Saccharomyces cerevisiae S288C: one gene and its partners. The gene in region 1 interacts genetically with each later gene. Each region holds a gene or a part of one and is shown on either strand. Other genes may lie near its edges.

Evidence for each region.
Region 2: mutations in ATG40 (region 1) and SOL2 together harm fitness more than expected from each alone (negative genetic interaction), as found in Saccharomyces cerevisiae (one large-scale study listed by BioGRID).
Region 3: of ATG40 (region 1) and ATG15, changing one suppresses a phenotype caused by changing the other (phenotypic suppression), as found in Saccharomyces cerevisiae (one study listed by BioGRID).

The regions. Positions count from the first base shown.
Region 1 is NC_001147.6:616,997-620,425, reverse strand, and holds ATG40 (Atg40p), read left to right. Parts: upstream 1-2,137; coding exon 2,138-2,908; downstream 2,909-3,429. Other genes in the region: ATP-binding cassette multidrug transporter PDR5, read right to left, coding at 1-586. UniProt on the Saccharomyces cerevisiae protein: Acts as a receptor for reticulophagy. Directs autophagic sequestration of folded tubules/sheets derived from the cortical endoplasmic reticulum (cER) and the cytoplasmic endoplasmic reticulum (cytoER) into autophagosomes.
Region 2 is NC_001135.5:244,920-248,525, forward strand, and holds SOL2 (Sol2p), read left to right. Parts: upstream 1-2,043; coding exon 2,044-2,991; downstream 2,992-3,606. Other genes in the region: mitogen-activated protein kinase kinase kinase SSK22, read right to left, coding at 1-1,664; cystinosin-like protein ERS1, read right to left, coding at 3,114-3,606. UniProt on the Saccharomyces cerevisiae protein: May be involved in regulation of tRNA subcellular distribution.
Region 3 is NC_001135.5:235,113-238,870, forward strand, and holds ATG15 (triglyceride lipase ATG15), read left to right. Parts: upstream 1-2,101; coding exon 2,102-3,664; downstream 3,665-3,758. Other genes in the region: GTPase-activating protein SED4, read right to left, coding at 1-1,210. UniProt on the Saccharomyces cerevisiae protein: Lipase which is essential for lysis of subvacuolar cytoplasm to vacuole targeted bodies and intravacuolar autophagic bodies. Involved in the lysis of intravacuolar multivesicular body (MVB) vesicles.

The DNA of each region.
Region 1 (3,429 bases):
CTGGTCTACCTAAAACGACTAGCAATTCACCTGGGTTTAGGCAACCATCCATTGGTTTCAAGATTTGGAAAGTATTGGTTTCTTTAGAACGTTGAAACTTTCTCAGCCCACTTTTTAGGATTTTGTATGGAATATTAACCACAGTTGACTGATAGGCGACATCTGCGGAAGCACCAGAAGCACTTAAGTTCTTCCAAGCGCAACCTAAGGAATAAGGCTTATAAAAGTCAGGGTCTGCCGCACTTAGGTGAGCCATATTCTTAACCCAGGCGGCACTAGAAAAATTTTCGGAGTTGGGGTCCAATTTTGGGTCATAGCCTGGAGCTTCAGGATCAGAGAATATCGGGTTTACACCTTCCACACCGCTAGAAAATATAGACTGAGCATCACTTTTGTTGGGTGCCGATTGAGTGGAGTTTTGCATACTCTGTGCGGTCAGAGTCCTTGCCAGTTTTTGGATTCGAGCTTCTGTATGCTCATCGAACCCATTATAATTGTGTAGATCAGCAGCGTTTTCAGTAGAAGAAGACGCGGAGGAGTAGCTAGTAACGTCGTTGACGTTATTGTTAAGCTTGGCCTCGGGCATTTTTGTCTAAAGTCTTTCGAACGAGCGGATACGAAAACTTAAAAGGGTCTTTAATTTCTTTTTCGAAAGTTCCTAGTTGCCAATTTATTTATAATTAGAATAACAAAGTCGAGTGATAACTAACACAGTTGTTATATGTTTGCAACTTTGCGTGACTTTTTTCTTTTGGATTTCATTCTAAGGTATGATAATAAAAGCGAACAGCCATAAGGTTATGCACATCACAATTATATATGTATAGGAGAGGCCTTGTTTGTATTGCTCAGATTACGTTCAACAGATATCGTACCACGGCGTAGAAGAGTTCCGCGGAGACATTTCTCTTTTTTTAGCACATTACCATAAGTAGGAATACAGATCTGACCTTTCCACGGAATCACGAGTCCAAAGGGTGCTGAATCGTGATCACGACCCGCGGGTGAGCCCACACTCACCGGAGTCTTAGTAAATCTGAAAATGTTGTGGCACCGCGGCATGAGCGATTCCGCGGAAAGAGAGGGGCAGTCTTAAGTTTCAGTCCACTCGTTCCGTGGGAAGCAATCGACCGAATGGTTCTCCACGGACGTTTTCTCGGCGGCAAGGTTGTGTCGTGATAATCGTTGCATAGATGTGATGGCTTCCTGCAACTTATCCTGTGCTCGAAGGCGCAGAATGCGAACGTTCGCGCTGAGGAACGTTCATGTTCTTTTATTAGTAAGATCATACGTGTGGTGTTGTTTTCCATTGAGTTCCACTCCTGATTGTGTGAAGTGATAAATGTTGTGTACTATGTAAGGGACTGCGCCAACGAGGTGCTGCTTTCTATTATGGCAAATTGTTGCGAGTATGGCTTAATTGTTTATTGTAATAGGTAATTTGATGTTCTTTTTTTTCTTTGATTTGAACTTTTGTTCTCTCTCTCAACTTTTTCTTTTCTTTGTCCTTGTTGATTAGATTGTGACGATAATTTCCTTATAATATCATTGTTGGAATCAAAGAGGAAGACATATTTACGTTAACGAACAAGTTCAGTGAACCATCTAAACATAGAAAGGGGTCCCAGAGAACGCTTCCTTTGTATGATATCTGAAATTTGTCTACTGCATTCAGGCTTATATATATGTGTGTGGTAGCGCCCAACGGAGAACCGTATATGACGGACTTTACTGTGTCACATTTCAGAAAAACAATAAGTGTTTTTCCCTTCCGTAAATAGCACATATTCATTCCTATATCGCCTCTCTGTTTTATGCTCTTTTTTCCCGGGCATTTATTATTACCCGGTATTTCCAAAGATGCGGTTACTGCCCGCGGGTATTGGGCCTCCCTTAATATGCATCGATTTTACTGTTTAAAATCGTACAAAAGATAATATGTGGAAACAACTTTCCTAAGCAGCGAAATACACGTGCAAGAGCAACGTTATATCATTTCGATTTCATTTAATTTGATCTGGCTCGACATTAGTATTTCAAATCGAGGATAAGATTTTTGTAGTGCTCTTTTTTTCTATCTTTTAGCTAAGGTTCCTAACGTTCTTTCTGCTGTGCTTCACTCCACCATAGAAAACTAATGTTTAATTTAATTTTATGGCCCTTATTTTTGCTTACCTCAGTTGCCATTCCTTTGCAGCTGACATTAGAAGTGGTCTATCTGACGTCTTCCGTTGACTTCTCAAAGGCAAGTGCTGCTAAAACCGCTACTTCTTTGGGTCAGTCCCCAGTTGTCATCACCATTTATAAATCACTGTTAAAATATTGGAGTCTTTACGAGTTCATACATTTTATTTACCTCTATACTCCTATTGATGCCTTTCTGAATTTCTTACCATTTACCTCTTTACTTATGTCGTTTGGAAGTATTTGCTTGACAAGAGAGCTGGTATATGACTTCATTGCCTTTATGGAATCTCAAAACAAGCTTACCGGATTCCTTAATAAGATAACAGAACCGAATTTTAACAGTTATTTACTGTTTTCTTCAATTTATAACATTTGGTTTGCAGATGACACCAATGACAAATTCTTATTCGGTAAATTAACTCAGATTTTAATATCTGTAACAAAAAGGTACGAATTTCCAAGAACATTCTACTTAGCAAAAGTTTCTGATTTCCTACAAAATCTCATTCTAACGAGATTGAGACCCTTTGTAACGGAGCAACCCCAAGGCGACAAAAATCGCTATCAAAACGGTGACCGTGAATCTACAAAGAATGGAGCTGCTTATCAGAAGTCTTCACAACAATCATCGTCTTTCGAACAAAATTTTACCAGCACTGAGTTCCCGAATGATTATGATTTTATGGAGGATATTCTAGATGAGACAACTGAATTGGATTAGAATAGTTTTTCCATTTTACCATAATGGTAGTCTATGAAGGTACCTAATTTTTCATAGACACAAAACAAAGTTCAGGCGACGAAACACAAAAATCGCCATATATATTTACGCATATGTATGCATTCTAGGAAACAGAAAAAAATAAATAATATAGTTCCTTCTTGTGACTTCCTCTCCAACCCGCCGCATAATCGTCGGCATGGTTAAACATGCTGTATCGGCTATTAAGGAAAGAAAGTATACATAAAAGAATGAAATAAAGTTGTCCAAATGGTGAAGAATTTAAAAAAATGCTACTTCGAGCTGCTACTATGAGTTTATAGGCTGAACATAGCATATAGCATTTCATAACTGCACTATAATTGAGGTTTCTCTGTTTTAAAAGCATAATCCCAAATAATTCTGAGTTGACAAAATAGCGGCCATCTTAAAATAATTTGTTACCCTGCTTGGCGTTCAAAATGATTTTTCACTTTTCTATTTTTTTTCATCCTCTCACTTTCGTAGTAGCTTTTGAAAAA
Region 2 (3,606 bases), on another chromosome or scaffold:
AAAATGGAACTTAGCCATTTTTCTGCTTCTGAAGCGTTAGCAAATGTTGGTGGGAAGTTTTGTTGTTTCAAAAGATAGAATTGCAATTTATGTACGAGTCTCAAAGTTAACTTGAGAAATTCATTTGGAATCACGGTTTCTGCACCGTTAATATAGTGACCGGTGTTTTTTAGGTGATCCCAGTATTTCAAGAGTAGATCGGGTGCTTTGAAATTTTGTTTACTGGAATCAATCAACTTTAAATTCAACAGAAAAAATAAATAACGAATGGCTTCTATTACAGTATTTTCGAACGTCGGGTCAAAATCCACATCGAACGGCAAATTGGAGCAATATTTTGTCAGTGTGTACTTCAATTGCACAGAAAGTCGAATAAAAGCGTTAAAATCATCGATCATTTGATCGATCATCATCATTGTTGGATTTTTAAGCTTTCGTGCATATGACAATCTAGTCAAAATAACTTCTTTGATTAAATAGACGGGGAACGCCAGTAGTGATCTTAACCTTTCATAAGGATATTTTATGTTCATCTTTGTCAAAGTTTCTCTGTAGACTATAAAATGTAGTTTCAGTTTGAACATCCAAGGTGATAGCGGATAGAAAATTTTTTTTTGGAATATAGACTCGATGTTCTTTTCCTTCATCAATTGTTCTGCAAGAATCTTCATTTTGCAGTTCCATTGGGGCACACCATCAAAATCCTCTTGGCAATTATCCGAACTACTTATCGGTGAGAAACGGTTTATCCAGTCGTCCAACTCTTGCCTCCTCAACGTTAAGTTCGTTTTAAAGTTCAGCCAAGAATTCATTACGTCTATTCTAGCGGTAAATTCTGCAGTATTGGTGATTGGTTTATCCTTATACATTTTTTTCAAGTTAGGCCAATAAGAGACAACGCTGTGATATCTGTTCATGAGGTCTTGTAAGATGGCCTCCAGTGCATCCAGGCTCAATATCTTGCCCTGTGGAATTTGAAACTTCATTATCTCTTCAAAAACGGAATCTGAACTATCTCTTAAATATGTAAGCGACTGTTCCATCTCTTGCATGGTCCTCCCATTCAGCCATGCCTTCAATTCGAGCCATATCTCATCTGAGAGCTCCTTATTTAACCCTGGTTTCTTGACTTGGTTAGCAATCCTCGTCTTTTCACCTTTAACAATATCTCCCTTCAGCACTCTGGCCAGCATTGACTGCCATTTGAACCGTTCGGTCGCAATTTCATTCCAAGCTAGTTCATCACTGTCTGACCTCATTTTCCTGCAATAAGGTGTAGTGGAGAAAAACTTGACACCTGAGTGCAGGTCTTCATCAATTCTGTCGCCATTAGACAACCGAATAATTTCGTCATCACCGTCGTCTTCCTCGTAGCGGTTAGTGAGTTTTATGCCCCTCGTGTAGTAGTCATCTAAAGCGGTCTTTTTTAGCTTTTTCAAGTATAGCGATTCATTGAAAACGTATCGGTCCTTAAAAGTCAGCTGACTGGGGCCGTCGCTTATTGTTTCCGAGCCACCCAATGCTTTCAAATCAGATCTTGATAGTTTATGGCTGGAATGACTTGATAATCTCTTCACGAGCTTACTTGAGATGGTATGAGGAGCCAGAACTCTCCCGCCTTCAGCCGCTTTTTGTTGCTGTGTATTCAGTATATCCATCATCATTTTCACCTACAAGGAACTACCTTTTATAGCCACCCTAAGTAAAACAACATTAGCTTAGCATCCTCAATTCTTATCGTATGTTGTTGCTGCTATTTTTATCCTATTGTTCCTGGCATCGCTTTTTTACATAAGGTACCAAGGCAAGAGAAAAGACCCGCGAAATTTTCAATTCGAGACATAGGGTTAATACGAAATATGTTAAGGTCTAGTTTCCAAAAAATGAAGAAAATGTGATTAGACATCCTGGGGAAATTAGGTTTAAATAGGGCGGGCGCTACAGGGGTTTTCCTAACAAATTTCAATGATAATAGTGGCATCATCATCGTCATATCCAGTGTAGGTATGGACTAGAACAGAAAGCAATTTGCAGCAAGACAATATGACTACGACGGTACCCAAGATATTCGCGTTTCACGAGTTTTCAGACGTGGCAGAGGCCGTAGCTGACCATGTAGTCCACGCGCAAGACGGTGCATTGGCTCCAAAGAACGAGAGGAAACACTCTGTTCCCAACATCAGCATGAATGCACTGGATATGACGAGAGAGGCCTCTTGCAAAAGCACAGCATCTGCCGCGGAAGGGAAAAGTGGTAGCAGTGGTAGTGGCAGTGGTAGCAGTAAGCCCAAAAAGGAGAAACGGTTCAAGATTGCTCTCTCCGGTGGGTCATTGATCGAAGTGCTACACGAAGGTCTGCTAAAACGAGACGATGTACGGTGGGGAGACTGGGACATTTACTTTGCAGACGAGAGACTTGTACCCTTCAGCTCGAATGAAAGCAATTATGGATGCGCCAAAAGGAAGATTTTGGACCTGATAGACACGGCGAAGTATGGAACTCCGAAGGTGTACCACATTGACGAGTCATTGATTGACGACCCGCAAGAATGCGCTGATAACTATGAAAAGGTGCTAATCCGCGGGTTTGCCGGTAGAGATTCCGTCAAACTTCCGATGTTCGACTTGTTCCTGCTTGGTTGTGCCCCCGATGGTCATATCGCATCACTCTTCCCTAACTTCCAGGACAATCTACGTGAGAAACTTGCATGGGTGGTGCCCGTGGAGAACGCTCCTAGTGGGCCCTCGACCAGAATTTCGCTGACTATACCTGTAATCTGCCATTCTCACAGGGTTACTTTCGTTGTCGAAGGTGCAACCAAGGCGCCCATCATCAAGACCATTATGGAAAGGCCTGAAAAGGGCCTACCTAGCAGTATTGTCAACGAAGGTGCTGCTGGTCGTGTATCATGGTTTGTTGACGACGATGCTCTTACGGACGTCCTCGTCACCAAAAAAAAGTATAAATTCCACCAAGGTTTGTCTATTTAAACCATGCATGTGTGTACATACATACATACACACATACATACATACATACATATATTTATGTATATTTATGTATATATATATATATATATATATGCGTAATTATGCAGATTTCTCCTTGTGTGCTACAGCGGGTACTCTGACGCCAGATCATGGCCTCGAGATCGATATACAAACCACTGCATGATAAAGATGAAGTTGAATATTAAAGTTACCATTGACAGTCCCACTTTTCCAAAATTTGTCACGAACGTATCCAGACTGAAACCTTGATCGTTAGACAACTGCCAAATCAATTGGAGCAGCGAGGCGATACCGCCAGTGACATCTAGAAACACACCCTGAATGGGGAAACAATCCATAGATTTTCTTGTCGAGTTATGCGTCACTTGTGGGATGTACTTGATTAGTGACATCGATATTTTGAGTAAAAACAAATTGTTGCAATACGCCAGAGTTCTTGAGTTATGCCAATCGTACCAGTAGTTGGAGTACATAAATTGTACGGTTAGCAGTGAAAAAATGGCCAGTGATGCGAGTAAAATCCTTAGGTACCATGGATTCATCTTGCGGTGACCTTTACCTGGAAATCGCCAGATTCTCGCTCCAGCTACCACC
Region 3 (3,758 bases), on another chromosome or scaffold:
CGTCATTAATAGTGAAATAAGAAGAAGATCCTTGGTCTATGGTAGTGTTTTCCTTGAATTTCGACTTATATATATCATGAGCATGTTTGTAAATAAAGCCGTGCACATTATGTTTGTAGCCTAGTTGAATAGCGCCAGCCAAAACCACTAACAAAACAAAATTCAAGAAAAATTTCCAAATATTTCGTAAAATTGATGACGATGTACCGGAAAGCTTCAGAACGTTGATCGTGTTCCCCATAGAAGTGCTTGCCAAATATCTAGAATCTGGAGAAAAAGTAACTTTTGTTATAGTAGATTCATGTACTCTTGGAACCAACTGAACAAGCTTTAGCTTTTCAACGCTGACGATGGCAACCAAGTTATCGTTAGATGATAATGCAACGAACTTCTTATTTGGGGAGACATCCATCGATGTTATTCCATTCAAATCGAACATGAAGGATGCTGTTTTTAAAATTTTAACACCTTTGGAACTCACACCTAGTTTTAACAAGGAAACTCCATCAGAGTTCGATAATGATGCTGCCACTAATAGCGTATTGTCATTGAGAAACCTGATATTAGAAAGAACAAGATTTTTATCAAAATCCGTTTTCCTTGCTACAAAATTTCCGTCCCTAACAGACGCTACTTCCAAAGAATTAGAAGTGATATATGACAAAAGAATACCGTTAGGGGCGAAGTGCAAATCATTAACTTCCCTACCCGTTTCAATTTCGTAATTTTCCGTCAAATTACGCGGGTCAATGATTCTTATCACAGTGGGCACTTCAGAGGACGCAATTGCAGCTACTGTGGCCCTTTGATTAATGTAAACAAACTTAGTGAAAACGGATGGGTCTGTAGTTCTGTTGAAATCAATACTGGCCACGAATTTTAGATGTTCTTGTTCAAACACAAACTTCCTCAAGTGGTGGTTAACGTTCTCCATGGAGGAATCATTAAACAGTTCATTGCAACCAACTAGAATCAGGTTATTATTACAATCCAATGAAGTGGGCGCATCGTCAATCGAATCTAATGTGATCTCACGAAACCTTCTAATGTGTTTCTTTTTCTGGAAGTTCACCTTTAAAGCTGTAATTTTGTTTGGAAACGAGGAATTGAACTGGCCTCCACCACCAGCCACCAGTAGAGTGCCTTCATTTATAAATTTAGCACCATATATCGGATATCCGACGTCATAGTTTGCAGAGTTGCCACTCATTATTATGCTAGTTTTTCTAAGTTTAAAAGGAGAGAAAAAAAAGGAAGAGAGGACGTATCGTAGGGAATTGTGATGCTTGTTGACAAACAGCCTCCGTCGATCGAAGCAGCTATAAGCGTAGGTTACTTGAAGCGTTCACAGTTCTCATTTACACTGTACAATTCTCGAGATATAAATGAAAATTACTACAACCAAGAAAAAAGGACAGGAGGGCTAAAAGGATAATAAAATAGGGCAGTTACAAATGTGGTCAAAAATACTAGGGCTCAAAATTGCTAAGTAAGGGCTTGACAGATGTAACATAATACGAAATAAACTGGATATCGTTTAATAATTATCAAGGTGATTTAAATCGTAAATACATAGGCTGGGCCATATACACTAACATGTGTCGTGACCAATGTGCAGCAGATAGACTTGCTCATTAAATATATTCCAGGTAGGATTCTCTAAGGGTTTTTTTTTTTCTCTATAGCTGTCACTTTTTTTTTTTTCTCTTATCAATCACAGATATAATAAGCATAACATCGGAAAGAAAATAATGATAGGGCAAAAGGGAAAGCATTTCCAGTTGAATACAGTATCTCTACTATATTGTTGTTCGCTGAAGACAGCCGTTTCCGGAAAAAAGTGATTGTGTGATCGCAGTTACCCGCACCTTTGTTCAACAGTACATAATAAGAATCTGTAGATATAGATGAACTTTCTCTATTACATAAGACTAGCCTAAAAGCCTTGTTTCTATCATTTAAAGGCTTTTGAGACACTCAAATCAGTGTCAACCTTTTGGATAAGTCAAAGAAAGTACGCCGCTGCTCAGAAAATTGTTATCGTGATTGAGAACTGATCTAGGCATTACAATTAAAGGAAACAAGGGAAATATTCTATTGAATGTTGCATAAAAGCCCTTCAAGAAAGAGATTTGCTTCTCCTTTGCATCTAGGATGCATTCTAACGCTTACAGTGCTCTGCCTTATTGCTTACTACTTTGCTTTACCGGATTATTTATCGGTAGGGAAGAGCTCATCCAGGGGTGCCATGGATCAAAAATCTGATGGAACCTTTAGACTTAAGTCTATCTACAGGCATGGCGTCGGAGCAAACCATCGGCTACACCAGAGGCTGGAGGTCACTCCAGAAGTTATTTCTGCCGCTGGAATGCTGTATCAAGAAACCACAACTCAAGGACAGGATTTCGAAGACCAAGAACCCCTATGGACTACTAATGCCGAATATGCCACCACTAACCCATTCGATTTTGAGTTTGAGCTACGAAGGATGCCGCTATTGATGAAGCGGATGAAGGAAAGAGATCCTGAATTCATAGAGTCGTACATTTACGGAGAAACATACATGACGGAGGAGGAAGAACACGCCATGTGGATAGATGATGACATTGTGGCACCCAATATCACAGATAGAGGTACAGTAGTGTCGTTAGCATTAATGTCGTCTAATGCTTACGTGAGAATACCGCAAACGGGAGACTGGCGTAACGTCACGGAGCCGTGGAATGAAACAGAGCCGGAAGATTTTGGTTGGGATGGTGATGGTATACGTGGTCACGTCTTTTACAATGAAGTGGAGAATATCGTGGTACTCTCGATAAAGGGAACCAGCGCTCAGGGTTTGCCAGGGTCTGGCGAAGATGAGACAACTGGAAACGACAAGATCAACGATAATTTGTTATTTTCGTGTTGTTGTGCAAGAGTGAGCTACCTGTGGACTACCGTGTGCGATTGCTATGTGAAGTCGTATATATGCGATGAGTCTTGCCTGGAAAAGGAACTGAGACGTAAGGATAGATTTTACTCTGCAGTCGTTGACATATACAAAGGCGTCCTCAAAGAATACCCCGATGCGGCCATATGGGTCACAGGCCACTCACTGGGAGGCGCATTGGCCAGTTTACTGGGCCGCACTTTTGGATTGCCTGCGGTCGCATTCGAGTCCCCTGGAGAGCTACTACCTTCAAAAAGACTTCACTTACCATTCCCACCGGGACTTCCCTCATACATGGAGGGTATCTGGCACTTCGGTCACAACGCAGACCCAATCTTCATGGGTACATGCAACGGAGCTAGTTCAAGTTGCTCACTGGTGGGCTACGCTATGGAAACCGCGTGCCACACTGGTAGAGTCTGTGTCTACGATGTGGTCAACGACAAGGGCTGGAGTGTAAACATGTTCAACCACAGAATCCACAAAGTCATTGACGAAGTTCTCCTTGGATACGAGCAGGCTGCCAAGTGCGTTGAACCAGAGCCCTGCGTAGATTGCTACAACTGGAAGTTTATTCCAAGCAGAGACTGGGAATCCTCATCGAGGCTCATTACCAAGACTAAAAGCCACGCTGCACCAACCACGACGACTCGCACCACTGCTACTACTACCTCTTCATCTACCTGTGTAGGCCGCAATTGGCTTGGCTTCTGCACCAAATACGAGTTGTAAGACCCATACATCTATTATGACCCTAGTGTTGTTTTAGGGCCTATGCGCCCTTTTTTTCTTCCATTGTCTGATAAATAATGTATCATTTTGACAA